Linked DNA regions of Cricetulus griseus. The protein of the gene in region 5 purifies or fractionates together with the protein of the main gene of each other region. This does not show direct contact. Links are inferred from orthologs where the notes say so. Each region holds a gene or a part of one and is shown on either strand. Other genes may lie near its edges. The genes, in order: serine/threonine-protein phosphatase 5, Cdk4, Hspd1, Ikbkb, heat shock protein HSP 90-beta, Myh9 and Erbb2.

Evidence for each region.
Region 1: the proteins of heat shock protein HSP 90-beta (region 5) and serine/threonine-protein phosphatase 5 purify together in Homo sapiens (affinity purification with mass spectrometry; 6 studies listed by BioGRID and IntAct, with this or other methods). This does not show direct contact. The link is inferred for Cricetulus griseus from reciprocal best matches to the Homo sapiens genes HSP90AB1 and PPP5C.
Region 2: the proteins of heat shock protein HSP 90-beta (region 5) and Cdk4 purify together in Homo sapiens (affinity purification with mass spectrometry; 5 studies listed by BioGRID and IntAct, counting the BioPlex papers as one, with this or other methods). This does not show direct contact. The link is inferred for Cricetulus griseus from reciprocal best matches to the Homo sapiens genes HSP90AB1 and CDK4.
Region 3: the proteins of heat shock protein HSP 90-beta (region 5) and Hspd1 fractionate together in Homo sapiens (co-fractionation; 3 studies listed by BioGRID). This does not show direct contact. The link is inferred for Cricetulus griseus from reciprocal best matches to the Homo sapiens genes HSP90AB1 and HSPD1.
Region 4: the proteins of heat shock protein HSP 90-beta (region 5) and Ikbkb purify together in Homo sapiens (affinity purification with western blotting; 3 studies listed by BioGRID and IntAct, with this or other methods). This does not show direct contact. The link is inferred for Cricetulus griseus from reciprocal best matches to the Homo sapiens genes HSP90AB1 and IKBKB.
Region 6: the proteins of heat shock protein HSP 90-beta (region 5) and Myh9 purify together in Homo sapiens (affinity purification with mass spectrometry; 4 studies listed by BioGRID and IntAct, with this or other methods). This does not show direct contact. The link is inferred for Cricetulus griseus from reciprocal best matches to the Homo sapiens genes HSP90AB1 and MYH9.
Region 7: the proteins of heat shock protein HSP 90-beta (region 5) and Erbb2 purify together in Homo sapiens (co-immunoprecipitation; 5 studies listed by BioGRID and IntAct, with this or other methods). This does not show direct contact. The link is inferred for Cricetulus griseus from reciprocal best matches to the Homo sapiens genes HSP90AB1 and ERBB2.

The regions. Positions count from the first base shown.
Region 1 is NC_048602.1:11,649,787-11,653,642, reverse strand, and holds part of serine/threonine-protein phosphatase 5, read left to right. Parts: intron 1-2,632; coding exon 2,633-2,874; intron 2,875-3,856. UniProt on the Homo sapiens protein: Serine/threonine-protein phosphatase that dephosphorylates a myriad of proteins involved in different signaling pathways including the kinases CSNK1E, ASK1/MAP3K5, PRKDC and RAF1, the nuclear receptors NR3C1, PPARG, ESR1 and ESR2, SMAD proteins and TAU/MAPT.
Region 2 is NW_023276806.1:130,640,891-130,645,182, reverse strand, and holds the start of Cdk4 (cyclin-dependent kinase 4), read left to right. Parts: upstream 1-1,175; 5' UTR 1,176-1,333; intron 1,334-1,788; 5' UTR 1,789-1,808; coding exon 1,809-2,026; intron 2,027-2,170; coding exon 2,171-2,306; intron 2,307-2,412; coding exon 2,413-2,580; intron 2,581-2,732; coding exon 2,733-2,842; intron 2,843-3,368; coding exon 3,369-3,419; intron 3,420-3,733; coding exon 3,734-3,869; intron 3,870-4,292.
Region 3 is NC_048595.1:409,526,448-409,531,053, forward strand, and holds the start of Hspd1 (60 kDa heat shock protein, mitochondrial), read right to left. Parts: upstream 3,039-4,606; 5' UTR 2,914-3,038; exon of another isoform or gene 2,833-2,913; intron 2,032-2,832; 5' UTR 2,030-2,031; coding exon 1,856-2,029; intron 337-1,855; coding exon 84-336; intron 1-83. Other genes in the region: MOB-like protein phocein, read left to right, coding at 3,548-3,550, 4,183-4,347. UniProt on the Homo sapiens protein: Chaperonin implicated in mitochondrial protein import and macromolecular assembly. Together with Hsp10, facilitates the correct folding of imported proteins.
Region 4 is NW_023276807.1:60,985,604-60,989,972, forward strand, and holds the start of Ikbkb (inhibitor of nuclear factor kappa-B kinase subunit beta), read left to right. Parts: upstream 1-1,366; 5' UTR 1,367-1,480; intron 1,481-1,752; 5' UTR 1,753-1,770; coding exon 1,771-1,875; intron 1,876-4,369.
Region 5 is NW_023276807.1:31,888,422-31,892,990, reverse strand, and holds the start of heat shock protein HSP 90-beta, read left to right. Parts: upstream 1-1,500; 5' UTR 1,501-1,639; intron 1,640-2,874; coding exon 2,875-3,021; intron 3,022-3,137; coding exon 3,138-3,344; intron 3,345-3,569; coding exon 3,570-3,729; intron 3,730-4,134; coding exon 4,135-4,268; intron 4,269-4,350; coding exon 4,351-4,569. UniProt on the Homo sapiens protein: Molecular chaperone that promotes the maturation, structural maintenance and proper regulation of specific target proteins involved for instance in cell cycle control and signal transduction. Undergoes a functional cycle linked to its ATPase activity.
Region 6 is NC_048595.1:374,865,601-374,868,163, reverse strand, and holds part of Myh9 (myosin-9), read left to right. Parts: intron 1-356; coding exon 357-485; intron 486-1,390; coding exon 1,391-1,479; intron 1,480-1,564; coding exon 1,565-1,688; intron 1,689-1,982; coding exon 1,983-2,191; intron 2,192-2,563. UniProt on the Homo sapiens protein: Cellular myosin that appears to play a role in cytokinesis, cell shape, and specialized functions such as secretion and capping. Required for cortical actin clearance prior to oocyte exocytosis. Promotes cell motility in conjunction with S100A4.
Region 7 is NC_048600.1:111,535,337-111,539,874, forward strand, and holds the start of Erbb2 (receptor tyrosine-protein kinase erbB-2), read left to right. Parts: upstream 1-1,710; 5' UTR 1,711-1,922; coding exon 1,923-1,995; intron 1,996-4,538. UniProt on the Homo sapiens protein: Protein tyrosine kinase that is part of several cell surface receptor complexes, but that apparently needs a coreceptor for ligand binding. Essential component of a neuregulin-receptor complex, although neuregulins do not interact with it alone.

The DNA.
Region 1 (3,856 bases), on a different chromosome or scaffold from region 5:
AGGTCAGAGTGTGTGAGCAGGAGGCGGATATCCCCTTCCTTCCTCTCTCTCCACGTGCTCAGCTCTCCTTGTTGGACTCATCTGGCCTCAGTGGGGAGAAAGGGGTACTCTGTGAAGGAAGGGGGTGTCTCGGGGACTCAGAAGGCCCATCCCCAACCACAGAGGGTTCCTCTGAGAGCTCAGCCCTACTGTAAAGGTTCTGGGGATAGAACCCGGTCCCCGGCTCAGTGTCAGTCCAAAGGAAGCAAGCCTCTGCTCTTTCCCGTTCTTCCTGAGGAAGGAGGCTGTTCTCACCTATGGGTCTTCATGATCTAAGGGTTGTGGTAGGGGAAGGACTGCATGGTGGTTCAGGGCACTCCTCTGTGAAGGAAGACTATACCTGGAGGGTTGTACTGCCGCAGCTGCAGGATGGCCCCTGGCTGGAGTGTGACAGCCGGTGGAAGCCTTCAAGGTGGGGGCCTCCTGTCCCTTGTGTGTACTGTTCCTTCCCTCCTCCATTTGGCAGTGTGTGAGGCCAAGTGCAGCCTGGTTCTCAGGTGCGGACAAGTGGTCTGAGGGGCTGAGGCTCCAGCAAGAGGCTCTCTGTCTGCACTTTTGTGTTGGAATCTGCACCACCGGGTGTCAGGCTACACACTCTCTGCCACTTGGTGAAGTCCCACCTATCCACCTGAGTACTAACCAGCAGCCTCTGGAGCCCAGCCAGGATGCCAAGGAAGCCCTCAGAGGCACTGACATTCCTGGGAGGGGCCCTCTAAACTGTGCCGCCATCTGCACCTTCCTGCCTTCGTGGCTTCTGGGAAGTTCTAGGTCCTGCCTTCTTGGGGCTCATGGGCCTAGGAGACAACCAGAGTGGCAGAACTGGGGCAGGGAAGGTGGAGGCAGGGTGGTGCCTCACCCAGACCGGAGGTCAAGTGGAGCTTCCTGAGAGGGGACATTTGGACTTCGTGACAGAAGTCCAGGAAGGACTGCTGAGCTGCACCCCCAGGACCAGCTGTACTGCCTCTGGTCTTGGTCTCTCCCTGTCCCCCAACCCCCAACCCTCTCCTCCCTTGGCCAAGTGCTTCCTTCCCCATTCATGGAGCCGCCTCTGCTCACATCCCTCTCCCATGTCTTGGATCAGGCCCTTAGGCTGTCTGAGCCCAGAGCACTTTGTCACTGTTATCTGGGATCAGATAGATCTCTCTCCTTGATACACCAGCAGTCCCTGGAGGGCAAGGCTGTGTCCCCAGATCAGTCCTGAGCTCTAGGAAGGGTGACAGACACCTTCCTCACGGTGTTGAGGGTTCAGCAAACAGTCCCTGAGTACTCTGAGAACGGTGAGGTGGGGTCAGGGCAGTAACCCCACTCCAGGTTGAAACTCAAGTACAGAGAGGGTATTGAAGTTGTCCAAGTACACCCAGCCTGAAAAACCAGAGCTGGGCCGGCTTCCCATTGTCTGAGCCGGGTGCTGTGTCAGGCTCCCACCAGGGCACGTGGAGGTAGGATAGAGGCCTTGCCATTTCTACCTGCCTCAGAATTCCCATCTGCCACTTGCCATGTGACCCCAAGCGCAGGCTTTCCTTCCCTCTCTGAGCTTGAGCAACCCTCATCAGGAGATGGGCTAATGTGGCTTTCTCCCTCCGGTTCCTTGAAGATCCATGTGTCCTGGGGTGCTGTGTGGCCTCGGGTACATTGCGGTCTCCCAGCCTGGGCAGGTCTCTCAGAGCAGCCCGAGGCCCTAGTTCTGCTGTTTGTGTAACGACCTCTCGGGAGGAGGGGTCAGGCCTAACCTCTGCCAGTACAGACTGGGGCTCTGACCTTGAACTAGGCCTCTGTGGTTTGTGTCAGGTGAGCACCAGATGTTGCTTATGCTGTGGGGACAGGAGGGTCCCACAGGTTGATGGAGAGCCCAGGGCCCAGCTGTGCTCCTCAGTTCCCATAGAGTCTGACCTTTTACCCTTGGAGGGGAGTTACCCTTGTCCCTCCCCCAGCGCTTGCCCTCCTGCGCCAGCTGGTCGCCCTCCACACCTGCTGTAGCTCCTCCTCGCAGCCTAAAGAGCTCCCTCCCTTCATCCTCCCGCTCTCCCCATCTCTGGACCTGTCTGCTTACTCTGGGCATCTGGACAGCCACAGGCTCGGACTGTCTCAGTTTGCCTGGCTTAGATGGAAGTGCTGGCACTCCCTGACGTGCCCCTCTGATCATGGGGAGACTTGGAGCCCTGAAGGAAGTAGCGCCCAGCCTGGACTTTGCTGGGCCGATGTGTGGATTGATTCAGGTTCTGGAGACTGTGACCTGAGCCTCAAAACCTGGGCTATGGTCAGACATTGGGGACAGGGAGGAGGGACAGAGTCCATACTGAACCCCAATCTTCTCTTGTTAAATATATATTTATTTATTTACTTTATGTGCATTGGTGTTTTGCTTGCGTGCATGTCTGTGTGAGGGTGTCGGATCTTGGAGTTACAGACAGCCGTGAGTTGCCGTGTGGGTGCTGGGAACCGAACCCAGGTCTGCTGGGAGAAGCGCCAGTGCTCTCAACCACTGAGCCGTCTCTCCAGCCCTAGTCTTCCCTTTTGTAACAAGGACCGTCAGTCTAGGGTGGATCCCCCCTACCTGTGGCAACAGGGCTTCATGCCTCCTTCTCCTCCACAGCCAAGGACTACGAGAACGCCATCAAGTACTACAGTCAGGCCATCGATTTGAACCCCAACAATGCTATCTACTATGGCAACCGCAGCCTGGCCTACCTGCGCACCGAGTGCTACGGCTATGCCCTGGGCGATGCCACTCGGGCCATCGAGCTTGACAAGAAGTACATCAAAGGCTACTACCGACGGGCGGCCAGCAACATGGCACTGGGCAAGTTCCGAGCTGCCCTACGTGACTACGAGACGGTGAGCCGGGCCTCGGGCACGGGCCAGCTCCCGGTACCCTAGCCAGGTGGAGGGGGGAACACCAGGGACGGGGAGGAGCTGTTCTGTGTCTCCTCTTTTCAAAGGCTCACCCAGATGCCGTGAGGACTCTAGGCTCTCGGATTCTACCTCTCGGCCATCGTGCTCTCTATGACCCTGGACAAATCACCTGGCTTCTCTGCCTTCCTGTGCCCTCAGCGTGTTGAGGACAGGCCCAGCCTCGGGTGGCTGCAGGAGAGTTTCTACTGTGTGCATGCTTGGAGCCATGCAGGCACGTAGTCTGTGGTCGCTGGTAGCTCAGCCTTGTGACTGCTGCGACTGTTGATAGTGGTGGTGATTAGTAATGGTAGCAGTTACTGGCAAGGACCGAACAAACCTTTGATAGCTTGAGAATCTGGCAGGTGGGAGCCATGTGTCACTGACTAGGCAAGGGAAATGACTGTAGGCAGAGAGTAGCGGTTCCGAGAAAGTAGAGCAGGGTGACACATGTGGAGGGACAGACAGCCTCCAGGGACACGTTCCCCTGTGGACATGAGAGAAGGGACCTGGATGACATTTCCTCATCCACCACTGCCTACTGCTGATGTGCTCTGACATGACAGCCTTGATGGCGGTAGCAGGGACTGCCAGGACATCCACTTGGGACAGGTGTGCTCTGTGCCCTTCACAGAGTCAGTGGCTCTGTGAAGTGCCACCCAGAGAATAGGAGATTGCTCCTGTCATACAGGTGAGGACTCTGTATGCAGTCCTTGACTGCATCTCTCCTCCCCAGACAGTTAGCTCCCTGCTCAGGGACTCTGATCACTGCTGACCTTGCTGTCGGTAGCCCTTCACAGTGGACCCTTTCTGTGTGTGCACAGGGTCCCAGGAGGGCTGAGGAGCCATGCCTGCAGTCACTCAGCCTGGCCTAGGTCAAGTGACACTTGGCAAAGGGCAAAAATGTGAAGGGGGCGGAATGATAGCC
Region 2 (4,292 bases), on a different chromosome or scaffold from region 5:
AGCTCTAAGAAAGCTGCATTAGAAATAAAAAGGAATGTGACACCAATGATGAGTTGCATGTTTGCAGAGGGACACAAGACGTTCTCGGGCAACATGGTGGTCTGAAGTGGTGTTGGTGACCGCCCTTGTACACGCTCACCGTTTTGTCTGTTCATATGCACAATTACATACATATGTAACACAATACAGAATCTTAGTGTTAAGAGCCTTTTAAGATCAGGCACCCTGTTGGGCCGTAGTGGTGCACGCCTTTAATCTCAGAATCCCAGCACTTGGGAGACAGAGGCAGGCAGATCTGTGTAAGTTCGAGGTCAGCCTGGTCTACAGAGAGAAACCCTGTCTCGAAAAAAAACAAAACAACAGAGTTTCCAATAACTCCTTGCTGCTTTTAATATTCCCAGGGAGGTTTGCAAGTTGGAAGAGGGGAGGGCATTACGTTGCCACTCTTCCCATACAGTGACTGAGTATATTAATCCTGCTGTCCATCTTTTAGCCCTAGTTTCCTTCTTGGATAGGAATCGTACTCCCTGTTTCATAAGGGGCCACACTTGCCTACATTAGATACCCTCATCATTACTTCAGAGGGCGAATGGCTGAGACACCAAAACAAAAACATCACATACCAACTGGAAAGGAGCCCTTAGTAAAATTTTTGTTGAATGAATGAGTAAAACGAAGGCACAGTATACGAATGCTCCTTCCCCATGGCGCTGGAGTGAAAAATGTGACAGTCCCATCTCTGGTACCAGGATCTCCCACTAGCACCCGGACCTCCCCGCCCACGTCCAGACAAGGAGTGAGACGGAGAGATGCGCACAGGCTCGGCCTTGAGCCCAGAGTTGAGAGCCGGCTGGCCCGGTTGCCATGGCACCGCCTGGTGCTCCACCCTCCCTCGCCCCCACACACCCCCTCGGCAGTCAGGGACTGGCGGCGGGTCACGTGGTAGGCGGCGTAGCCACGCCTCTGCTTCCCAGCGCAGAGCTGAGGGGTCACGTGGGATAGCAACAGGTCACGTGCCCGAGCGAGTTTCGCCCCCCCCATCCCAGGTCATCCACTGCGCATGCATGGATGGATGGATGGATGGATGGAGACCACGTGTCCGCCGCGAACGTCCGGCGTTCGCCCCCCCCCCCCGGTTTCCGCGCGCCTCCCTGGCTGCTGGTCACATGGGGAGGGTGGGGGTGAGGGGGGCCTCTCTAGCTCGCGGCCCGTGTCTATGGTCTGGCCCGTAGCGTCCAGCTGCCCGGGACCGATCCCCGGTGTATGGCGCCGCAGGAACCGGCTCCCGGGCCCAGATAAAGGGCCACCTCCGCAGCTCTTGGCCGGGCGAGAGGTGAGTGCAGCCGCTTGCAGGGATGGGGCCCGGCGCCCCGCCACCACCCTATGGATCCCCTCGTTGTGGAAGGATGGCCCAAGGGCGGGAAGCGGGGCCTTTGTGGTCGCGGCCAGCGTGTGATTTTAGGGAATAAAGTGTGCAACCTTCGATGCCAACGCCGTGCATTGTGATGGTCTTCTTTGTGCCCGGTGCGATGTCCCGTTCTCCCCCCTCCTCCTCCCCGGGAGGAATGCATTCTTTTTCGCCCCTCCGGGACATCACGTGGCTGGAGGGCTCGGTGGGAGAGTCTTTTGTGTTACCTGAGGCGCGGCACTCTGGCAGCGTGGAGGGAGGGGATGGGCGGCTGTGTCGGTGCGGTCGTGGGCAGGAATTCCTTTGTTACTGCTGGGTCATCCCCCCTCCTAGCTGTGAAGGAAAGGAGGGCTTGGTTTTAGAAGCCTCTGTGATTGTAGGAGATCTCCCTGCTCCGAGAATGGCTACCTCCCGCTATGAACCGGTGGCTGAAATCGGTGTTGGTGCCTATGGGACGGTATACAAGGCCCGAGATCCCCACAGTGGCCACTTTGTGGCCCTCAAGAGTGTGCGAGTTCCCAACGGAGGGGGAGCTGGAGGGGGCCTTCCCATCAGCACTGTACGCGAGGTGGCCTTACTGAGGCGGTTGGAGGCCTTCGAGCACCCCAATGTTGTACGGTGAGGAGGTTGGATTGGGAGTGGGGAGGAAAGAATGGGATCTGTAAGCCAGGGGTGTGGTCGTCGGGAGTGGGACCCTAGGACTCCAGAGGCCACGTTGGAACAAAGGACATTGACCGGCTGGCGACTGTTTATTTTTGTCAGGCTAATGGATGTCTGTGCTACCTCCCGAACTGATCGAGACATCAAGGTCACTCTCGTGTTTGAGCATATAGATCAGGATCTGAGGACATACCTGGATAAAGCACCCCCACCAGGCTTGCCAGTTGAGACCATCAAGGTGAGCGGGCTGCTCGGTGAGAGGTGGATCCGGGTCTTTGTAGTAGGGACTCTTGGGGTTTTTGAGCGTGTTACATGGTGTCCGGGGCTTTCTCCTTCAAAACCAGGACCTGATGCGACAGTTTCTAAGCGGCCTGGATTTTCTTCATGCAAATTGCATTGTTCACCGAGACCTGAAACCGGAGAACATTCTGGTGACTAGTAATGGGACAGTCAAGCTGGCTGACTTTGGCCTGGCCAGAATCTACAGCTACCAGATGGCCCTCACACCTGTGGTGAGTGGAAAGATGGCAGCCCCAATGGGATTCGGCTTTAGGTAGTACTTGATTTCCCGTAGCAGCTGAGGTGTGTTGTGCTTGACGTTCTCAAAGCCCAGCAGCTATGAGCCATGAAAAGGACTCTCACTCGTTTCTCCTCTTCTGTTTAGGTTGTTACACTCTGGTACCGTGCTCCTGAAGTTCTTCTGCAGTCTACATACGCAACACCCGTGGACATGTGGAGCGTTGGCTGTATCTTTGCAGAGATGTTTCGTCGAAAGTACGGGGCTTGAAACTTTTGTTTTTTAAGACAGGGTAGCCCTGGCTGTCCTGTGACTCCCTCGGAGATCCGCCTGCCGCCACCACCTGGCTCAGGGTGTGGAACTCTTAGGTCCCTTCAGTTACACAAATCTTTTGATGTTACTTATGGTGTTAGAGGTTGAAATCAGAACTGCACATACACTGGGCAAATGCTCTATACCACTAAACTACACTCCCCGCCCCTGGGTCTTTTTACAAGACATACCCGTTCTTGACCATTTTTGTGCATATGGCACTGGACGCCCCAACCTAGGCTCTTGTATTTATCAGGCGCGTGCCCTGCCACCCAGCTATAGTCCCAACCTATCCTGTTTATGTTCACCAACTTGCCTAAAACCAGAAACGATGCAGGCAAATTTCCTGAAATGTCTAGGAATTAGGAACTTTGTGTTCCCTTATTCTCCGTCCTCTCTAATCTCAGCCACTTTGATTATCATTCCCTTATTTCTGAAATAATATATACTTGGAATATTTTTCTACCTTAGGCCTCTCTTCTGTGGAAACTCTGAAGCTGACCAGTTGGGCAAAATCTTTGAGTAAGTGTCCAATAAAGGGGAAAGAAATCCCCCCCCCCCTTTTTGTTTGTTTTTTTCGAGGCAGGGTTTCTCTGTGGCTTTGGAGGCTGTCCTGGAACTAGCTCTTGTAGACCAGGCTGGTCTACAAGATCTCAAACTCACAGAGATCCGCCTGCCTCTGCCTCCCAAGTGCTGGGATTAAAGGCATGAGTCACCACCGCCCGGCTAAAATTCCCCATTCTTAATTCAGTTTCTGCTCAATTCCAAATGGCAGTTGGCCCTGGAGATGGAAACTGGAAAAAGCCCCCCTGACCAGATTTGTGTTATCCCTACAGTCTCATTGGATTGCCCCCAGAAGATGACTGGCCTCGAGAGGTATCTCTTCCCCGAGGAGCCTTTTCCCCCAGAGGGCCGCGGCCTGTGCAGTCGGTGGTACCGGAGATGGAGGAATCTGGAGCACAGCTGCTGCTGGTAGTGGGCATGGGCCAGGGAGGTGGCTCTGTGATAAAGCTTTTAGGGCATAAGTGTAAGGACCTGAGTTTGAATCCCCAGAACTCGAGTAAAAGCTATGTGTCAGTGAGCTTCTATAGTGTCTCTTAATACCAAATGGGTGGTGGAGATAGAATTCCCTGGAAGCTCACAGGTCAGATAGTCTGGTTAATACAGCACTAACAAGAAACTCTCAAACAAGGCGGAAGGGAAGTACCGGCATTCCAGACTGTCCTAACCTGATTTCTATGTGAGCATTGCCTTGAACATGCAATGAACATAGAAGAAACAACACAGGGCCCAAGGCCATTGTGGAACCAAGTTCTAGTTAGTGGACAGGCTGTAGTTTTTCCTGTTGCTATGAGTGGCCAGCAGGGTAGGATGCAGGAAACACCTGCACAGCGT
Region 3 (4,606 bases), on a different chromosome or scaffold from region 5:
GGACACACACCAACAAATGTATTAAGAAAGGAAAAAGATGAGACAATACTCTCATTTCTGTAGGGTCAATGACATGCTCTTACCTCTCCGGATTTCTACTGGATTAGCCCCTTTGCTGATCTTCTCAAAGCCTTCCTTGGCAATAGAACGTGCCAGAACAGTAGCAGTGGTAGTGCCATCCCCAGCCTCTTCATTTGTGTTATTGGCAACATCTTGAACAAGTTTAGCTCCGATATTTTTGTATTTATCCTTTAGATCAATTGCCTTTGCAACAGTGACCCCATCTTTTGTTACTTTGGGACTTCCCCAACTCTGTTCAATAATCACTGTTCTTCCCTACAATGACAGAATAACAACCCTCAACCATAAACTTCAAAGTTGTCACTTTTAACAGTCCTGAAACGTGAATCTCAAAGGTCAAGTTAATCAACATTCTTAGGTCTATAGACAAAAGGAACTCTGAGGTACAACAGTAGATAACATCCCCCACCCACCCAAAGAGATGCCACCTATTAAACAAGATAGCACAGGTGACAATCACCAATCCTGGAACACCCTTCCATCACTTGTACACGAGTTTTGGTTATGAACTGTTATTACTTTTTTATTAACTGTTGCTTTTAAGTACAATTTACTTGAACATCCATTCACTAAATATCAGCCAGTAAGTTTGTTCTTAACTTACTGTTTCCTGCTCATGCAATTCAAAACTTCAAAACTGACACCAACAGTATTGGCAACTTGGATTTGAACCAAGCTATTCTGTCTTGACCTATATAAACAGCACTTTACGAAGCTCTTTAGATGGCTTTAACGTCAATTTAAAGCAACTGTGCCCCACATCCAATTATGTCCTCAAAGTACTATGGCTCCTTATTCAACCACACAGATGAGTGACTCCAGCCTTGGATCTCAGCAATGATTCAAGGTTCAAGCTTGCTTGGTCCACAGGAGTTCCAGGTCAGCTATGGCTAAAGACCCTGTCTCAATAAACACCAGATGAATAGTATACTAAACTGTTACATACCTGGGACAATCAGTTCAAGGATAGTCTTGGTACAAAGCGAGTTAGAGGTCTGACTAAGCTATCGAGACTCTTAAAAACCCCAAACCAAACTTTTGGAATGTGGAAATGGCAGAGAAATCATGAGGTATGCACAATGGAGGGATAAATGGGAGACCAGATAGCCTTTTCCATGTGCAAGTGAAAACGGTTCTGGAGATGTGTGATGGTGAGTTACAGAACAATGCAAACGAAGTCACAAATATTAACTTAGGCTGGACAGATGCCACAGTGGTTAGGACCCAGGTTCAATTCCCAGCACCCACATAGCAACTCACAATTGTAACTCCAGTTCTGGGATCTTCACATGGGTATACACGCAGACAGTACACCAATGCACATAAAAATATAAATAAATCTAAACTCTATGCTATCGCATCTACTGTATGCATACTGTAATACTTCAGTACAGTTAAGTAAAACCTCACATCTACAATTACACTCTGAGGTGTTACTAGTCTTGAGCTGTCCTTTCCCCTCTATACCCTCTAACTCCTGGGAAAGGATCCAAAATTTAATGCAAGCATTCACACAAGATTAATTACGCCTAAAGTTTGAAAATCCTCCTTGAGCTATTACTACTCTATTACATCATGTTGCACAAAAGTCCCCCAAATCGGCTGCAGCAGTATTAAGGCCACCAACTAACGAAACTCCTAAATAACACCCCCAAATCACTTAACATGTACTACACTCAAATTAGATTTTCATAAAACTTGTTAACAAATACTGTCTAATTTGCAGCTACAGAATACTATTCTTTTATTAACACGATTTAAAGTATACTGATACCTTTGGCCCCATTGTAACAGCTACAGCATCCGCTAAAAGGTCTACACCTTGAAGCATTAAGGCTCGAGCATCTGCACCAAATTTTACATCTTTGGCATAGGCCCGAGTGAGATGAGGAGCCAGCGCCCGGGACACTGGTCTCATCTGGCGAAGGACTGTGGGTAGTCGAAGCATTTCTGGGAGAGGGGGGGAAAAAAAAAAGCAAAGGATCACTACTAGTTACGGACAAACTTGTCCACCTGTGCTTCAGAACATGGAGGCTAGCTAGACTGGAGCTTGGCAGTCCTCTGCTAACCGCCACGCCTGGGCCACACACGGCGCTGCAGCTTCAGGACATCAATTGCTAGCAACGGATTAAGGAGGCCGCCCCCATGCTCGCTTGACCTGCAGCCCTAGCACACAAAACCATTCCCCATGGCCACCCACTCCTGCCACCGCGAGTTAATCTTTCACTGGCAAAGCGGCCTTAGGAACAGATCCACTCCAAAAGTGTGTGTGGGGGGGGCAAAAAAATCAAGCTGGCGTAAGCGAGGCAGGTTCCAAATGCAAGAGCACAGGGAACTATACAAGTACTCATGACGGTGCAAAACCCCGCTCAGGAAAAGTGACGCCAGGTGTCCACCCGGAGCTACGGTAGCACAGCAACTAGCAAGGCCGCAAAACCCAGGACCGCAGCTCAGCCCATTCGCGCGGCCCCACGTGTCTGCCCGACAAGGAGCCCCAGGCAAGGTCAAAGTAGAGGCGCCGCATCCCCGCAGCCAGAGGGGACGAGAAGGGACCGCGACCACCCTCCGACAAGAGTCCTGCAGTGCGCCAGGCGCAGGTGGCACCAGAGGGCCCAAGTGGCTCCCACCCTAGCCCGTCCTCGCTCCCGCGCTTGGCCTGGGTCGCGTGGTCCCCGCCGCACGTGATGAAACCCGCGTGGCCCCGTCGGGCCTGGACAGGCCGGCAGAGCCTGCGGCGTCGCTGCCAGCCTTGTCCCCTAGCCCGCCATGCTCGGGCCCAGCCGGAAGCAGGCCGGCGAGCTCCCGGGCGCCATGCACGTCGAGGCCGTGTACCTGCGGGGCGGCGGCGGGAGGGCACGAGGCGAAGCAGGCCGTCGGCGGCGAGTGAGGGACCGAGCGCAGAGCGCGCACCGCAATGAGTCCGAGTCCCCTCCCTCCGCGGCCCCGCCCCGCGGCCCCGCGTGCGCGCGCGCCCCGCTCCCTCCCACGCCCGGGCCCTGCAATCAGCATGCGGCGCGGGTGGCCCCGCCCCCCCCGTACCCGAGCGGTCTCAGCCCCGCGGGCTCAACCCTCTCCCGCCGCCCTACGCTGGTTCCTGGGCCTCGCTCCGTTCTAGAACCTTCCGGAAGGGCGCTGCGCCTCCCGTGGGTCAAGGGTCAGGTGGCGTCATTTCCGGGAGGAGGACGAAGGGCTCGTTCTTTCACCTCAGCGGGCCGCCTGGAAAAGCCTAGAAAGCGCGCCCCTTTTCTTCCGCCTCCGGCTGCCCCCTTCGGCGGCCTGCGCGGAGTCCTCGCCACCAATCGGCGCGCGCGCTGCCGTGGCCGCCCTCTCTCACGCTCGCGGGGGGGGGCCGCGTGCGCCTGCGCCTGCGCGCTGCGTGGCTTTTTCACGTGTCCCGAGCCGGACCTCAGGACTCTCCTTGCAGCGGCGGCCCGAGTGCAGAGTCCGAGCGGCGGCGGCGCGAGTCATGGTGAGTGTCCCTGGGCTGGCAGGCCTGCCTGCGGGTCGGGGTCCCCCGCGACCCACGGTGTCCCCCCCTGTGTGCCGGTTTAGCACCGGCAGGGCAGGGGGCCACGCAGTGTTCGGCGCCCGCCCGGGTTCCGCAGGAGCGAGGCCTGTCCGATGCGGTTCTCCACCACGGCCTCTTTGCACGCACGTGTGCTGCAGGAGCCCGGGGTAGGGGGCGGGAACCCGGATGCACACTCAGTAGCCCACCTGCCCTGCCAGGGCTTTCATGGACGTATACTGTGTTGGAGAATATATGACCCAGCTCAAAAATTGATACTCTCTCCCCGGCGTTACTAGAATTAAAAAAAGAAATCTAAAGAAGGAAAACGTTTGACCTTGGAGGAGACCAAGGTTGTGGTTAAAGGTAGTGTGGGTGCTGATGGGCAATGAAGACACCCCCCCACCCACCCACACGCACTAAAATATACAGGGTATGAAACATCCAAGAATATTTTCTAAAGGCACACCTAGATTTTTCTTGTCAGTTTGGGACGTTTGACCCGTTATAGGTTAAGGCATGCAGCGGTATTAACTGTTCGTGGTCTGACGCTGCGAACGCAATGACAGTCCGTTTGAACACGTTTCTCTCCGCAGGCTGGACAAGCTTTCAAAAAGTTTCTACCGCTCTTTGACAGAGTATTGGTTGAAAGGAGTGCCGCCGAAACTGTGACCAAAGGTGGCATTATGCTTCCAGAAAAGTCTCAAGGAAAAGTATTGCAAGCAACAGTAGTGGCTGTGGGATCAGGCTCGAAAGGAAAGGTAACTGGGAGCTACTACAGCAGTACTGAGTCTTATATGTGATATGGAAGGAAAGGAGTAGAAAATCCTAGATTACCAAGTGGCTTTTAAAATAGTAGATGTCTTTTTTTGAAATAATTTAACTTCACAAAGAACCGCGCATGAAGGAAAACCATTGTGGAGTTGTTTTATTTTTCTAAGGAATGGAGAGGCATTCTATAAAAAAAGGCAAAATGTACACATGAGAAGTGTGTGTGTGTGTGTGTGTGTGTGTGTGTGT
Region 4 (4,369 bases), about 29 Mb from region 5:
TCCTCCCTAGTAAGGGCTCTCATAAGGAGTCAACAAAGTCTGGCACATTAAGTTGGGGCAAGACTAAGCATTAAAGCTGAGCATGGCATCCCACCATAGGGAATGGACTCCAACAAGCCAGTTCATATACCAGGTTTGTATTGTGGTCCTACTGCCAGGGACCTCCCAGCTAGTCCAAGCTTCACAATTGTCTCCCACAAACAGGGGGCCTAGTTTGGATCCATGGAGTCTCCACAGCTCTCTGCCTAGAGCTCATTAGTTTCCACAAACTTGGTTCAGCTGTCTCTAGATTTCTCCGTCATGATCTTGACCTCCCTTGCTCATGCATTCCCTTCTCCCTGTCTTTGGATTTGGAAGCTCAGCCTTGTGCTTGATTGTGGATCTCTCTGCCCTTGTATTTGCCTGAGCTCACTGTTTTGCTTGCTTTAATAATAAAGGAGTGAGAAGTTCTTTATTTGCACTACTCTTGAGTTCAAATGCTTAGAGTCCCCTGGATATCCAACGAAGACCTTTGGCATATCCATCAATCCACTGAGAGTTAATCTTGCTGGTGGCTGCCCATGCTGGTATAAAGGGCCAGTAAGTCAAAAGCCTCATGCCAGACATAAGAGAAGCTTGTCTCGGCAAAAACTTTTCAAGCAGTTCTGACAAATGTAACCATACAGGAGAGATTGAAGTCTAGACAATGATGGTGGACCAGAACACACCTTGAGCAGGGCTGCTTAGTTATGTATGCCTCTAGCCTTCCATTTAAACCCAAACCTTATGTTAGGACCCCAGTATTGGACCTGGGTTCGCAGAGGCATGGGTGGGAGTGATTGGGCCTCTTTCTGTCTTTTCTCTCTCTTTTTCGGCTTTTCAGTGTTAGTTGTGTCGTGAATTAGGCCATGGAGGGTGAGTGGCTGAATGTGACCTGTTGGGGGTAGGGGAGAGGCAGGTAGGAGAGAGTGTCCTGGTTCTTGACCTAATACTGCAACTCCAGCTTAGGTAGACACAGTTTTTTGTTTTTGTTTTGCTTTGTTTTTGTACTCTTCCTCCTCTTTTGGGGGGGTGGGGTGGGGGATGGGAGTGTGTTACTTTCTGAGGAGTGTCAGTGTCTGTTTTTCATTCTTAGCACTGAACCAGGAGCATTCAGATTCGATGAATGGCAGTGGGAGCACAGGAAGGCAATTCGTATTACAGTCCTAGTAGCCACTTAGCAGATTCTCCCGACCCTCGTTAACTGCCTAGCTTGTTCGATGAAACTCAACTCGAAAAGCCTAGGGTAAAGCAGTCTCTACGCCGCCAAGTCCAGAACCCGCCTGCGGGCTGTGGCTGCATCTCAGCGAGCGGCTCGCACGTCTCCTTTAAGAGCCGCCAAATTCCCGTGACGTCAGGGCAGGAAGTGTTTGAGGAAGTGGCTCTGGGCTGGCTGCGTGGGGACCCTAAGTTTTCATGCCCTCTGTGGGTATCGCTGGCGGCCCCGCGGCCCCTGGGGCAGGTGAGTCCCACGCGAGGGCCGTTCGCTGCGCGTGGAAGGCCCGCGTGGACGCGTGCCCCGCCTCTTCCCGGGGTCTGCGGTGGTGGCTGCTAGCAGTGAGGACCAGGACCGCCAACGGGCCGGGCCGCGGCAACTTTTATTTATTAACTAAACCCTCTGAGTCTGCTCCCCTTCCTTACCTTGAAGGGCAGCAGTCGCTACTGCCTCCCCCTGCTTCTCGAGCTCCATTGTTTCGTTACTCTGAACTTGTCTTCTCTTCCTCTTGCTTCCAGAGTTAGCCGGGCATCGATATGAGCTGGTCACCGTCCCTCCCAACCCAGACATGTGGGGTTTGGGAAATGAAAGAACGACTTGGGACTGGGGGATTTGGAAACGTCATCCGATGGCACAATCAGGTAGGGCTCTGGCCCCGGGGAGAGCAGGTGGACTTTCTTGGTGCTGCTAATGCCAAGGCCGGTGCAAATCGGTGAACTCCCGCCTAGTCTTAGCATGATCTAAAAGGAGAGTAAGAAAGGGGGACTGCAAGGGAGGGGGGTGTGAGAGCTGCTAAACTGACTCTTAAAAACCTTGTTAACCCTGCCACTTAAATAAGGTGGAAAAAAAGCTGTCATTCTAAGTGTTAGACTAATATTAAACTAGCATGTAATGCATTGCATACCGGTGAATGTCACAGAATACAGACCGTGTTAAAAAGATGAGAGCAATAAAGATATTTTAAATAACTTTTAAATTTTAAAATATTTTTAAATAGTTGATAAACCCGGAGTCTTTTGTAATACCGAACTGCACAAAAGACAAGGAGTTAAGGATAATGGGTGAAAAAGTGCAGAGGGTAGGATGGTGAGTGGCTTGATTTCTCTTTTGAGCTGATCATATTCTCATTATTTTGGTCTTTATGTGTCTGAGTCGAGTTTCTTGTGTTACAAGTTTTTGTTCTTCCAGAGGTTTTGGTTTGGGCTGGTGGTTTAAGAACACTGAATTCTTTGAGGGACTCCCTTTAAGTCACCCGTTTACTGTGTGAGAGTTATTTTATGCAATTTGGATAATGAGTTTATGGTAATGCCTAAAAAGTTCGTGGCACCTGTAATATTCCTGTAGCTCCATCCATCCTTCTGCTGTAGATCACTTTCCTCAGGGTTGCTGAGTACCAGATACGATGTGCAACTAACTGACTAACTTGGGGGTCACAGCCTGTGCCCTAAGCCAGGTACTGCTACCCATCCTCAATAAGCCCATTAAGAGTTAATGTAATATCGGAGAGCAGAAGATTGGGTCAGTGTAGTCACATTGAGAGGAGGAACAGAGACCCAGCAAACCTCCCAAGTCCATCTTCAGGATCCTAAATGAGATTAAGGTTTAAATAGAAGGCCATGGATATGTGCATCACAGCAGTCCAGTGGTCCAGCTTACCACTGACCCGTTTTTTTGTCACCCTGTAAGATTTTCTGAGAATTTGTCAACAAATCTTTCTTCAGAAGACAAATTCCCCTTCTGGATGGTGGTTTCTCCTTTCCCAACATGAAATTCCTGGGGAATCCCCATCTTTGGGGTGCAACATTTGAAATTGTCTCTTTCATTTGTATCTTCATTTCTACCTGGCCAGTTACAGGACCTTCTGATAGACCTGGGAGGTGCTTTTATTTTATTTTATTTTATTTTATTTTATTTTGGATTCTAGTATTGGGCATCACTTGAGAAACAACCAAAATTAGAAACTACCCTTCTAGGGAATCAGTCCTTCCTAAATAGCTGTAATTAAAGTCTTGAGTAGTCTAGGTGAGAGACTAGCCTGACTGATGGTGGCGATAGGAAGAAGTGGGCAGATTTAAGAGCTGTTTAGGGGTAAAATGAGCAGGACTTGGATAGGATAGGAGGGTATTGGGGTCAGAGTTGGGATGGAGTTCGATTGAAGTGGTGCTGACTGAAGAACCCGTTTGCTTAGTCTGAATTCCTCCACCATCTTCATGGGCTAATCCTCCGGGAAAGCCAGGGGGCTGCTTTGGATGTGCAGAAACAATCTTTAATCCATATCTGAGATCAAAAGGTACAGTGTGCTTTCTAGTGGATGTACCTCTGTCCCAAGCCTCTTGAAAAATGCAGCTAGATGTGGTAGTATGCTTGGCTTCACATGTTCTTGCTATTTCCTGTGCTTTCTCCTGTCTATAAGCAAGAGAATGGATGTAGCTATCACAGGAGAAGTGCTGCCTAAGAACCAGGGTCATTGCTGTAAGCCTGTTGCATGCCAGCATCAGGCTAGGTGTCTCCTGTGCAGCTTTTGTTTGGCATTGCCCTGAGCTGTGAACCACCCTTATCTTACATAATTCACTTCTGGGGTCGACAACTCTAATTTCCATTTTGTAGCCCAAGAAACAGAAGCACTGGGGAGTTAGTTAATGTTCAGAAAGAGGATATACTGTCAACATGTACATCTATTTGGATCCAGATGATATATGCCACGGTGGCTTCTCCAGGTTGGAACTAGAGTTTAGGACATGCCTAACACATTCCCAGTTATTTTGGAGGTCCTGTTTGTTTCTTTATAGTCTACCCAAGCCATTTTGAGGCACTAAGGAGAAATGAAGGGATACCTAAATCTGTATTCCTCAGTGAAAAAGAGCAGTGTAGCAGTGACCCTGCTCCAGTTCTCTTGGCTCTTGATTCCCCCACACAGTGTGGGCTTGCCAGTCTTTGCTGCATAGGAACACCCCTAAATCTCCAGCTCACGGCCTAGCACAAACTGTTTGTAGTTCAGGTAAGCTAATGTTTTCAGTAGACCTTGAGATATATACACAGAGGAAAAAGATCCAACTCAAGGTACCTCAGCCAGCAACTCCTTTTGAGGGTAGGCAGAGGAAGGAGTCACATTCTCAGTCACACAACTTGGTTGGG
Region 5 (4,569 bases):
CTGATTTTTCTACAGGCTTCTCTCCCGATACAATTGAGAGGATAAAGACAGCAGGGTCAGGTGAACTGAAGCGGACAGAGGCAAAGGAAAATGGGAAGGCAACCACTGCTAAACAATGAAAGCACATTGGGGAAGATGGGCTGCATGCACGCACTAGGAAGGAAGGTGTGGGCGGTGGCGTCGGAGACCTTGGCCAGAGCCGGCAAAGAAAGGAGAGGAACATTTACAGAGCACGGAGTGGCCATTCTCTCCTGGTGGGCTCATCAGCCCAACTCGCTTCCAGAGGCGGCCTTGGAAAATGGCAAGGCTAGACGGACAGGCGAGGCCTGGACAGACAGCCCAGTGGGAAGGCAGGGCGGAGGTACTAGCGCAATTTGGTTCTGGCACCTGGAACTGGGCCAACCCGTGACTAGCATCTTCACGCAGCTGCCTAGAGCTCCCGCTAATCTGATAAGATGGAGATCTCCCTCTCCCTAGGTCCAAAGAGCTGCAGGAGGCAAGAGTGCTAGAAAAAGGGAAACCAGCTTGAGAAGCAGCTTGCAGTGCTCGCAAAGGGAGGGCGCACGGCCCCGTGCGCCTTGTCCGTGGGCCACCTCGGAGGCTGGGGGGTGGGGAGTGTCCCACCCATCAGTGTGGGGTCCCCGGTCTGTTCACAGAAAGGTGTCCGCAGTCACTCACCCCCGCAGATCACGTGCCCTGCGACCGATCCAGGTCAGCCATCCCTCTCTCTGGGCGCCATCCCGCGTTCCACCCCCGCCCCCCCCCGCAGCAATGTGGGGCTCCCAGGGCCGGGGTCGTCTAACCATAGCGCACAGTAGGAGCATTGGGGGGGGGGACACAGTTCGGCATTAAGAGCCGGGCAGTAGGTAGCGCCTAGCCGAGCGGCTGCCCCCGCCGCAGCGGGGGGAGGTGGAGCCTCGGGGGGAGGGGTTGAGACCGCCGAGACAGCCCTAGAAACTGCTGGAAGAAATCGCAGTACCGCCGGCGTTGCTCCTTCCGCCGCGCGCCGCCAAAGAGTCCCTGGCAGCCCAGGCCCGCGCCCCTCCCGCCCGAGCAGCTGCTCGCCGCCTGCAGCTGCGGCCCCGTTCCGGAGGGTGGGCATCGGGACCCCCTCCAGCTGGACAGCGAATGTCCCACTGTCCTGCTCTCTCCATGTAGGGAACACTCTGGGAGGTGGGCTCAGAGAACGGCAGCCGAGTTAGCCATCTCGGTGCTCTTGCGAGTCGGGGGTGGAGGCGCCTGCCTCGAGGTTTCTGGGGGAGTCGGCGGGATATCCGCGCGTGGACACATCCCTAGCAGCATAAGCGCACCCCGTGGCCCTCATCTTGCCATGGCCTTGTCCTGGTCGTGCAGGAGAGGCCTCGGCTCGCCGCACAGGCCCCGGGTCGCCCCCCCTCCCGCCCCCAGTTGCTACCATGACGTCAAGGTGGGCGGGCGGCGGCAGGTGCGGGCGGCGGCCCCGCCCCCTGAGGCGGAGGGATCCAAGGGCGGGGCCGAGCTGTGCTTCGCCTTATATAGGGCGGTCGGGGGCGTCTGGGAGCTCTCTTGAGTCACCCCCGCGCACACTAACCTCCGCGTGCGAGTCGGTCGCGCTCCGAGCCCACCCGGCCCTGTACTACTACTCGGCTTTCCTGTCAAGGTAAGGCCGCGGCCTCCGGCCCTGCGGCTTCCCGGGGCTCGTTCCCCGGGCTCTCCCCCCCCATTCGCATCCGTCCTAGAAGGTCCCCGCCCAGCCGGGCGGCCTGTGGGCTGGTGTACCCCGAGCTGCTTGCGTCTGGCCCCGCGGGGTGGCTCGGCGAGGCTCCTTGGGGCCCCGGGTTGGGGCCCCGGCGCGTGAGGTGGGGGCGCGGCCCAGCTGTGTGCAAGGCAGCCGCACGTGGTAGGCGCCGACCTGGGACGCTGCCATGTTTGCCCTCCACTTCCGGGCGCAGCTGCAGGGTCCGAAGGGGCCGCGCGGTGGCGGGCTCCGCGGCGTGACTCAGCACGGCCCTGTGAGGCTGGCCTGGCCGCCTCCTTTGGACGCCTTTCCCAACGTGGTTGGGGTTCTTGGGCGTGGGGGTCGTCCACGGGGTGGCAGGGACGCTTGAGCGCACTGCCATTTGCCTTTCCAGATCTTTCCTGCGCTCCGGGGAAGGAGGAGGAGGAACCCGGAGGGGGCTGGCACGGGAAGATCCATTGGTCCCTCCCCTACCCCTCCCCTACTCCTCCCCGCCCTGGAGCTCAGATTGTTCTGGAAGCTCCTGGTGCCCCGCCCCAGTGCCCGGATGCTGGGGCAGTGGGAGGGTTGCGGTGGCGCCCCCTCCCCGATGGCTGCCGCCGACGCGTGTCCGGCAGTGACGAGGGTCGCTGGAAGGCTCGGGCCACCATTTTACTTGTGTTCAGGGCTATGCAAGTCTGCGCAGTGAGAGAGGTCATGGTGGAGCTTTTACCTCTTTGTCCTGGTTTAATTGCTCCTTGAGTGCCTCCATGACTGCAGCCTCGGGTTCCCTGCTCCTGCTAGGATGGAGCGGCACATAGAAATGGCTGCTGTTTCTGTTAGTTTCTTTTTTGCCCAAATAAAGTTGTAAAGGGTTTCCTGTATATGTTCACCGGGTAGCTAACGAATTATCATTTCTTGAATTTTAACAAGGTATGTTGTCGGGTTGAGCCTGTTTGAGCTGTAGTATACCGTTTTGGCTGCGTTTGTTTGAAGAACCATCCATCCTTTGAGTTTTTTCCGTTTTCGGTTTACCAGCTTACTGTAGCTTTTCAAGGTCTTTTTAAAAATGGCGGTTCTCATCCCTTGGGAATGGATACTACTCAGCTTAAAGCATTTTGAATTGGAGTTTAAAGTGCATCCATCGTTTTAGTAATTAATGTGTAATGCTTTCTTAGATGCCTGAGGAGGTGCACCATGGCGAGGAAGAGGTGGAGACCTTTGCCTTCCAGGCAGAAATCGCCCAGCTCATGTCCTTGATCATAAATACTTTCTACTCAAACAAGGAGATTTTCCTTCGAGAATTGATCTCCAATGCTTCTGATGTGAGTATCACAGCTTCATAGAAGCCCAGTGAGGGATTGAGAGGAGTCTGCCGTGGGTTGAGAGCCAAGACAATGTTTGCAGAAATGGAATAATGTGGCTGTGTGTTTATTTACAGGCCTTGGACAAGATTCGCTATGAGAGCCTGACAGACCCTTCCAAATTGGACAGCGGCAAAGAGCTGAAGATTGACATCATCCCCAACCCTCAGGAGCGCACGCTGACTTTGGTGGACACGGGCATTGGCATGACCAAAGCTGATCTCATAAATAACTTGGGAACCATTGCTAAGTCTGGCACAAAGGCTTTCATGGAGGCTCTCCAGGTGTGTGGCCCTATATCCACAACATTCTCAATACTGCTTTTGACTTGTTAATTTTTCAGTACTTGTTTTCACTAGTGATATGGTAGGCTTTTAACCTATGGAGATCAGAGGATTACTGGCCAGTAGGTCCCAGGGATTGAACTACTTGATAGTTACACTTGAGTTCAGCAAGCACTTGTGCAGAACCATTTTACTTACCTCTTAACTTTTAAAATCCTTTGGCAGGCTGGTGCAGACATATCCATGATTGGGCAGTTTGGTGTTGGATTCTACTCTGCCTATCTCGTGGCAGAGAAAGTGGTTGTGATCACAAAGCACAATGATGACGAGCAGTATGCTTGGGAGTCCTCTGCTGGTGGATCCTTCACAGTGCGTGCAGACCATGGTAAGCTGCCTGTCCTCGTTTGGATGCTTGGTAGAATTCTCTGGAGGATAGAAAGTCCAAAGTCTTGATCATGCACTGTTTAATCTCAGCACTTTGGAGGCAGAGGCAGATGGATCTCTTGTTTTAGGACAGCCTGGGCTACATAGAAGCCCTGTGTCAAAATGGGGAGCAGGGGGTTGAGTATTTTGGTTGTAGTTTTTTTGTTTGTTTTTTTTTTCTTCATTGTGGTTTTTTGAGACAGGGTTTTTCCTGTGGCTTTGGAGGCTGTCCTGGAACTAGCTCTTGTAGACCAGGCTGGTCTTGAACTCAGAGATCCTCCTGCCAGGATTAAAGGCGTGCACCACCCCACCGCCCAGCTTAGTTGTAGTTTTCTATGTCTTGATTCTATCATTCACTTTTTTATAGGTGAGCCCATTGGCCGGGGTACCAAAGTCATCCTTCATCTCAAAGAAGACCAGACAGAGTACTTAGAGGAGAGGAGGGTCAAGGAAGTGGTGAAGAAACACTCGCAGTTCATAGGCTATCCCATCACCCTCTATGTGAGTATGGACTTGGCAGTATTTGAGCAGTCTTTGCTGGTGATAAGTTCTCCACAACTCATTATCCAATTTGGTAATTTAGTTGGAGAAGGAACGAGAGAAGGAGATCAGTGATGATGAGGCAGAAGAAGAGAAGGGTGAGAAAGAGGAAGAAGATAAGGATGATGAGGAAAAGCCAAAGATTGAAGATGTGGGATCAGATGAGGAAGATGACAGTGGCAAAGATAAGAAAAAGAAAACAAAGAAGATTAAGGAAAAATACATTGATCAGGAAGAGTTGAATAAGACTAAGCCCATTTGG
Region 6 (2,563 bases), on a different chromosome or scaffold from region 5:
GATGTCAGGAGGATGACAGAGGGGACTGAGTTTTCTGCCTTGTAGTTCTTTAACCTGGCTTGAAGCATGCCTACTGTCTTGTCCCTGAGACCACCTGGTCAGTGACTGTGTGTCATGGCTGCCACAGTCAAAAGAAAGTATAAGAAGTAAGGAGGACAGTTTGCACTGTATCCAGGGGTCATTGCTGTTAAGAAATGCTGTGTAAGTCCTTGGAGGAGGATCCAGGTGCAGAGCCACTTGCCTTTGGTTACTTTTCTGCCTGTTTATAAAGAGGTTGGCCAAAATGGTCCCAGGCTCAGAGAGGTCCCCACGGGTGTGAAGTAGGTGGAGACGCCAGACTCTCTTGCTGCACACAGGCCCAGATGAAGGACTGCATGCGGGAGCTGGATGACACGCGCGCCTCCCGAGAGGAGATCCTGGCGCAGGCCAAGGAGAATGAGAAGAAGTTCAAGAGCATGGAGGCTGAGATGATTCAGCTGCAGGAGGTGGGCCAGCTGTGGGGCACGGGGCTTCTGCCTCCTGGCCAGCAGGGGGCAGCCTGGGGCCTTTTCCTGTTAGTAGGCCTCAGCCCAGAAGGGAAGGGCAGAAAAGCTGAGCTACCTCCTGGCAGGAGTTAATGGGAGGGGTCCTTCCAGGGCTCATGCCCTAGCCACACAGTTGGCATGGCATGGTGTATGCGTTCATGCTCATGAACATGTGTAATGGGGACAAGGATGAGACTCAGTACTCCCCACCTTTTAAAAGAAAATGTGACTGCTTAGTCCCCAGTCCATCCCATGAAGCGGTGTGTTGATTATAAGCTTACAGCGATTGCACATGGCAAGGAGGGTCCTGAGTGCCCCCTGGGCTGCTGCTTTGGTGACACATGAAGCACATGGTGGGGACAGGTGGGGTGGTGGACTTCCCACAAAGTGCCACCGCCGGCTTATGAAATGCTTGGTCAGACCCTCTGCTCTGGCATGGTTCTTCTCTTCTACTGGGTGTAGGATAACTCCCTCCATTGTCACCGTCATGCGTGGTGCTCTGGAGGTTTCTACAGTCTGTCTGCTGCCCTTAGTGGCAGAGTCCTGGACTCTAACCTGCACTCAAGCCTGCTTCATTAATCATCTCAGTATCTGGTCTGACCATATGCAGGGGACCAGTACTGCAGGTCTGTCCACACAAGCTGTCCCTGTTAGGCCTGGGTGGTTCCTGTTTATAGCCCTGGCTCCTGGCTTGGCTCCAAGTACTTAGGCATAGGGGCTTTATAAACACATGCCTAAAGGTGCCTCGGGCTGGAATTGACCCTGTGAGCTAGAGGAACAGAGGTATGTGCTGAGGGCCAGAGAGGACATGCGGCGCTGAAGGCTGTGTTGGTCCCAGTCATTTATGTTCTTGGTCCTTGTGGCAGGAATTGGCAGCTGCTGAGCGTGCTAAGCGCCAGGCCCAACAGGAACGGGACGAGCTGGCTGACGAGATCGCCAACAGCAGTGGCAAAGGGTGAGCCAGAGGGAGGAAGCACAAGCAAGGGTGTCTGAGGGCCTCCCCAGTTACCCAAGCCCTCACGTCTCTGGGTCCTCTCCAGGGCACTCGCGTTGGAGGAGAAGCGGCGCCTAGAGGCCCGCATTGCCCAGCTGGAGGAGGAGCTGGAGGAGGAGCAGGGTAACACAGAGCTGATCAACGACCGGCTGAAGAAGGCCAACCTGCAGGTGAGCATCGTGGTGGCCGCTGACCCTGCATACTGGGATCAAGACTCTTTGCCTGAGCTCCCTGTGGTCCAGCAGACCATGGCGGGCAGAAATAGGATGGATGAGTGTCCACTGTTCTCACAATGCCTCTGACCCGTGGCTTCAAGACCAGGCTTCAGAAGTTTCTGGGTCCTGTTCATGAGTAGATTCCTCTCTGAGAGAGCTGGGGTGTTCTTTGGTTCTGATGTCTGAGGAGAGGGTCCATGCAGCTGGGCCCCAGCCCTCCCTTGAGGTCACCGTACTGCCTTCTTGCAGATTGACCAGATAAACACCGACCTGAACCTGGAGCGCAGTCATGCTCAGAAGAACGAGAATGCGCGGCAGCAGCTCGAACGCCAGAACAAGGAGCTCAAGGCCAAGCTGCAGGAGATGGAGAGTGCTGTCAAGTCCAAATACAAGGCCTCCATTGCTGCCTTGGAGGCCAAGATTGCACAGCTGGAGGAACAGCTGGACAATGAGACCAAGTAGGTACCCCACCCAAACTGAGGGCAGTCAGTGCCGGTCGGGTCAGGAATGAGCTCTGTCTTCCAGGCTTCACAAGCAGTCTTCATTTGTTCTGAGAAGTATGGAGTTTGGGTGGGAACCCATAGCCCACACCCAGAACTGGGAGCTTTGTGGGCTGTTCTAGTGAGAGACCCTGCCTAGCTGTCTTGGGGCTCAGAACTGAGACTTGGAAGTAATGAGGACCATGCTGGGTCCCAAGCCTCAGATTCTCCATAGGCTGGCTCCTTCACTGGTCTCATGGGTCAGCCCAGGTCCCATCCTGAGATGGCAGCTACTGGGTGTCCGGAAAAGACACCTCCAGAGGTGTCCAGAAAAGATTAGGGCATCGGTCT
Region 7 (4,538 bases), on a different chromosome or scaffold from region 5:
ATTGAACTCAGGACCTCAGGAAGAGCAGTCCGTGCTCTTAACCTCTCCAGCCCCGGCTTGTTCTACTTCTTAAAGAAACAAAAAACAGTCTGGTGGTGTGTGCCTGTCATCCCAACACTCACACAGGCATGGAGTCACTCGCTTCAGGTTTGAGGCCAGCCTCCTCTATATATTGAATTTCATGCTAGTCTACAGAATGAGATCTTTCTCAGGCAAAACCAAGCCAAACCAAATCTTTGTCTCTGGCATGCTGGTCTATTTCGGTAAGGTGAATAAGTTTCAGGCTGTTTGTTTTCGTACACATGGTTTGTTTTGATCTAATAACTTTGTACTTCAAATTGATCCCCACAAACATCGCATCTGCTCCAGAATTGCTAAATCTGAGACTGTGTAGTGAGCAATTATTATGCTGAGTACTTCTATAATGTTTTCTCCTTTAGCCCTCAGCTCAGTATGCTAGATCTTACAGATTTGTAAACCAAGACACAGAGATGGTTAGTCACTAGCCCAAGGTCACACAGCCAGTATGTGACAGATTAAAGATCTGCACTCATTTCAATCTGAGAGTCCTTGTTCCCTGGTTCCTAGTGTGAGAACCAGAGGCCACTGTCTTTCATTTCTCACTTCTGGCTGATGCCTCCATTTGCCTGATTGCCTCTTGACCAGCACAGGTGTGTTCTTGACTGGACCATTCCAACTAACATCATTAGATGTTAGCAAATAAAAAGTAACTATTCGAGTTCACTTTGAATTTCAGACAAACAACGGGTAATTTGTTAGTGTAAACATGTCTCCTGCACAGTGTTCTTGGAATTTCCAACAAAAAACACGCCTTTCTTTCCCCTTCCCAACTGTCACCAGGCCTCAGAGGCGGAGTCTAGGTACTTCAGGGGTAAACTGGCTAGAGAAAAGGACAGGGACAGAGGAGACACTGAACGAACTATGTACTGGGTGAACTTACAAAGAAACGGGGATGGGGCTTGAGAGGTGGCTAGGCGGTTAAGAACTTGTGTTGCTCTCAGCAGAGGACTGGAGTTCAGTTCCCAGCACCAACGTGGGCTGCACACAACTGCCTGCAATTCCAGCTTCAGAGGATTCCCACGCCTCTTCTGACCTCTGTTGACAACTGCACTTATATGACCCCTCCCCACCCACCACCCCAAAGCGCGAACACGCATAATTTGAAATAAAAATAAGTCTTAGAAAAAAATTAAAAAGGAAACAAGGATAGCTGTTCTTCCAAGGATGAACAGAGGTCCCCCGATATGACTTGTCTCCTTCTAGTTCTGTGGGTCCCTGTAAGATCTGGCTGGAGATACCCAAAAGGATGAAACTGACATTCCAGAGCGTCCTGGAAGTCACCAATTAGACATAGCACACCCTCTTCCCAGACTGTGGATTCTACCTGAAGGATGTAGGGGTAGACCCATTTATTTGACATTAAGGGTGTGATGGAGTTAGATGCAAAGGTCCCAGGAAAGTTCAAGATAAAACCCGAGACTGCAAAGAGGGGTAAAAGGATGCTCTGCTTTTAGTAAATGGGTGAGAACTGCAGCAAGTTAGCCAAGCGTCGGGGCACAGGGCGCGACGCACCCAGGCCTGCGCCGGGAGGGAGAAAGTGAAGCTGAGAGCAGCCACTCCCAGCCTTGCTGGAATGCAGTTGGAGAGGTGGGGGGGGCGAGCCGGGAGCGCCCGGCTCCCAATCACGGGCGGCGGAGGAGGTGGAGGAGGAGGAGGGCTGCTCGAGGAAGTGCGGCGTGAAGTTGTGGAGCTGAGATTGCCCGCCGCTGGGGACCCAGAGACCAGGAGCGCCCCTTCCCCGGCGGCCCCTTCCGGCGCCGCGCCTGTGCCTGCCCTCGCCGCGCCCCGTGCTCGCAGCCTGGTCCAGCCTGAGCCATGGGGCTGGAGCCGCAGTGAACACCATGGAGCTGGCGGCCTGGTGTGGCTGGGGGCTCCTCCTCGCCCTCCTGTCCCCCGGAGCCTCGGGCACCCAAGGTGGGTCTGGCATGGGGAGGACGCGGGCCGCTGCGGCTGCGCCCACGGGCGGCCGGGACCCCGGGGCCCCGGGAGCTCTACAACCGGGCGGTCCGGGACGATGGGGGATCTCGGCTGCGGGCGCCGCGGCCCGGAGGGGATCGGAGCAGCTGGGGATGGGGCAGTCACTGGGAGGACCACACTGGAGGTCGGGACCGGCCTCCGCCGGCCACAGCGGCGCTTCCCGGGCAGAGAGGCTCCGGGAACTCCTCGGGGAAAGTTCTCTGAAAGTTTTCCTCCCGAGGGTGTGCGGAGCGCTGTGCGTGCGTGCGCGTGTTTCCCCCCCTTCCGAGCCCCCTCACGCTTTCTCAAAGCTCTTCCAGTTGGCAGCCTCCGCCTCCGGACTGGACTGGGCAGGATGCCTTCGGGGTCCCCTCTGCCCTGCCCCTCCCCCTCCCCACCCCCCTCCGGCCCTTTGGGTTTAGTAAGTTACTCCAGCTTCCTGCGGGGTCGCGGAGGAGGGGGCGGTGGGGAAAGTAACCGGTCCTGTTGAGCAGGGAGGACCGAGTGGCGGGTCCGCAGTTGAGTTGCTGCTCCACGGTGTCTGGGGTGTGGAGGGGACGGAGCGGGGTAATTATTTGTTTTGCACAAGTTTTTTTTTTTTTTTCTTTTCTTTTTCTGTGCTGGAACACCCTCTACTGCACCCCCACACCCCAGTTGGGGGCGTGCTAGGCAAGATCTCTACTACCACTTGGGCTGCTCTCTCCACAGTTCTGTTTTGAACAAATTTCTTTAGAGCCAGCCTAAGTACTGTGTGCTTTGGGACTCTGGGAAAGCTGGATCTTGAAGGGTGGTCGTGTGTTTCCCGGCTTTCATTTGGTAAAGTGGGAAGGGTTCCTGGGCATTTTAAGGGGAAGGCATGGAAAAGAAGGCCAGCTACGGGTAGACAGAGAACTGGCTTGTTCGCTTGCCTCTGTCTTCGTGTTGGGGGCTGGGAGGGTGACCCGCCCCCAGTGTGTACTAACCCATATGTCCATTTCTACCCTAAGAGTAAAAGCTGATACACACTCGGTGTGGGTCTGCTCTGCCAGGCTCCGTGGGTGGCGGTTTGCATGCATTCCTTCTTCAGTCCTGAGAACAACTCCACAGTAGAAATACTAGTTAGCCTTCTCATTGTCCCAGGGTGAAAACATGGGCTGGAGAAATGAAGTGTCATCCAAGAAGTGGTGGAGCCCAGGCAGTGTGACTCCCAGTCACATATTTGAAATCATAATACGAATCTACCTGGAACAATGGGGCACTGCTTCCTGAATCAGGGAAGACATAGAAAGCAGGTTCTTGGGAGCCATGGATGCTCTCCAGCGGCCAGGGAGCCTAGAGACTGGTGGGGTATCATCATCTGTGTGTACTCCCAGAGCCCCCCAGAGTCAGTACACTGCTGTGCTTCGGGGGGGGTACCCCTGTGTGTCTGAGGTGTTTATGATGGTTGTATGTTTATGCTGCCAAACAGCAATCTCTCTGCTGACTTGGGGACACGAGATGAACTCTGCCCTCTCCAGGAACTCCCTCAAGGTACTAGGCTATATCTGCTGTAAACAGTGGGAGATGCCCCTTGCCTGGCTGAGGATGAGGGCTCTTTTCAGTTTCTCAGGAGGGCATCGTTCACCTGAGCCTGGGAGTGGAGTTGGCCAGGAGTGGCCTTGCGCTGTGGAGCGGGAGCCTGAGGGGTCAGTTCTCCAGATGGGGTGGGGGTGGGGCTGAGTCTCATTCCTCCAGGTGCACTGCTGGGTGCAGAGGACAAGACACTGACTTGCCAGGAATGGTTTAAAAGGCAGAGCACCATCCAGCTGCCTCTAGCTCCAGATTATACCCCAGAACTGATGATGTAGGGCAGGTGTGTAGGGGAAAGGAGATCTGGGGAAGGCCCAGAGGGGCAAGATGTTACTGGGATCCTCAGGGCTCTAGGTTTTGAGAAGTGCAGGGGACCTTGCAGGGTTTGTTCCTGTTGGTTCTCTCCAAACCCTTCCCCCTTTTTGCTATAGGGGGACTCAATAGATCCCTCTTGCAGAGGACATGGGCTCCATTCCCAGCACCCACTTGGTGGCTCACAGCCTTATAGCTCCAGTTTTAGGAGATCTGATGCTTAATTTTAACCTCCATAAGTACCGGGCATGTGTATAGTGTATATACAAGGACAGGCAAAATGCTCATACACATCAAATAAAATAAACCTTAACAAGAAAAAGAAAAAAAATGCATTTCAAAGTCAAATGAAAAGGCTTTCTCCTTTTTCCTGAGCTGTAATTACTCAGAACCTGCTATATGCTTCTCTCTCACCTTCTAAAAACTTCTGTGTGCTTCCTGTATGGCAGATCCCTTTCCATAGACGGCTCTGTTCCCTCTCTGTCCTGTCCTGTAAAGTGGGTGGGCATATGGGGAAAATGAACCTCAGAGACACGAAGAGACTTATCAGGGGCATTAAGAGGTGGTCAGAGTTCTAGGCATCAACCAGGGATGAGTAAGAAGAGCCTTGGGGCAGCCAGGCAGCCAGCCACACAGGGAAG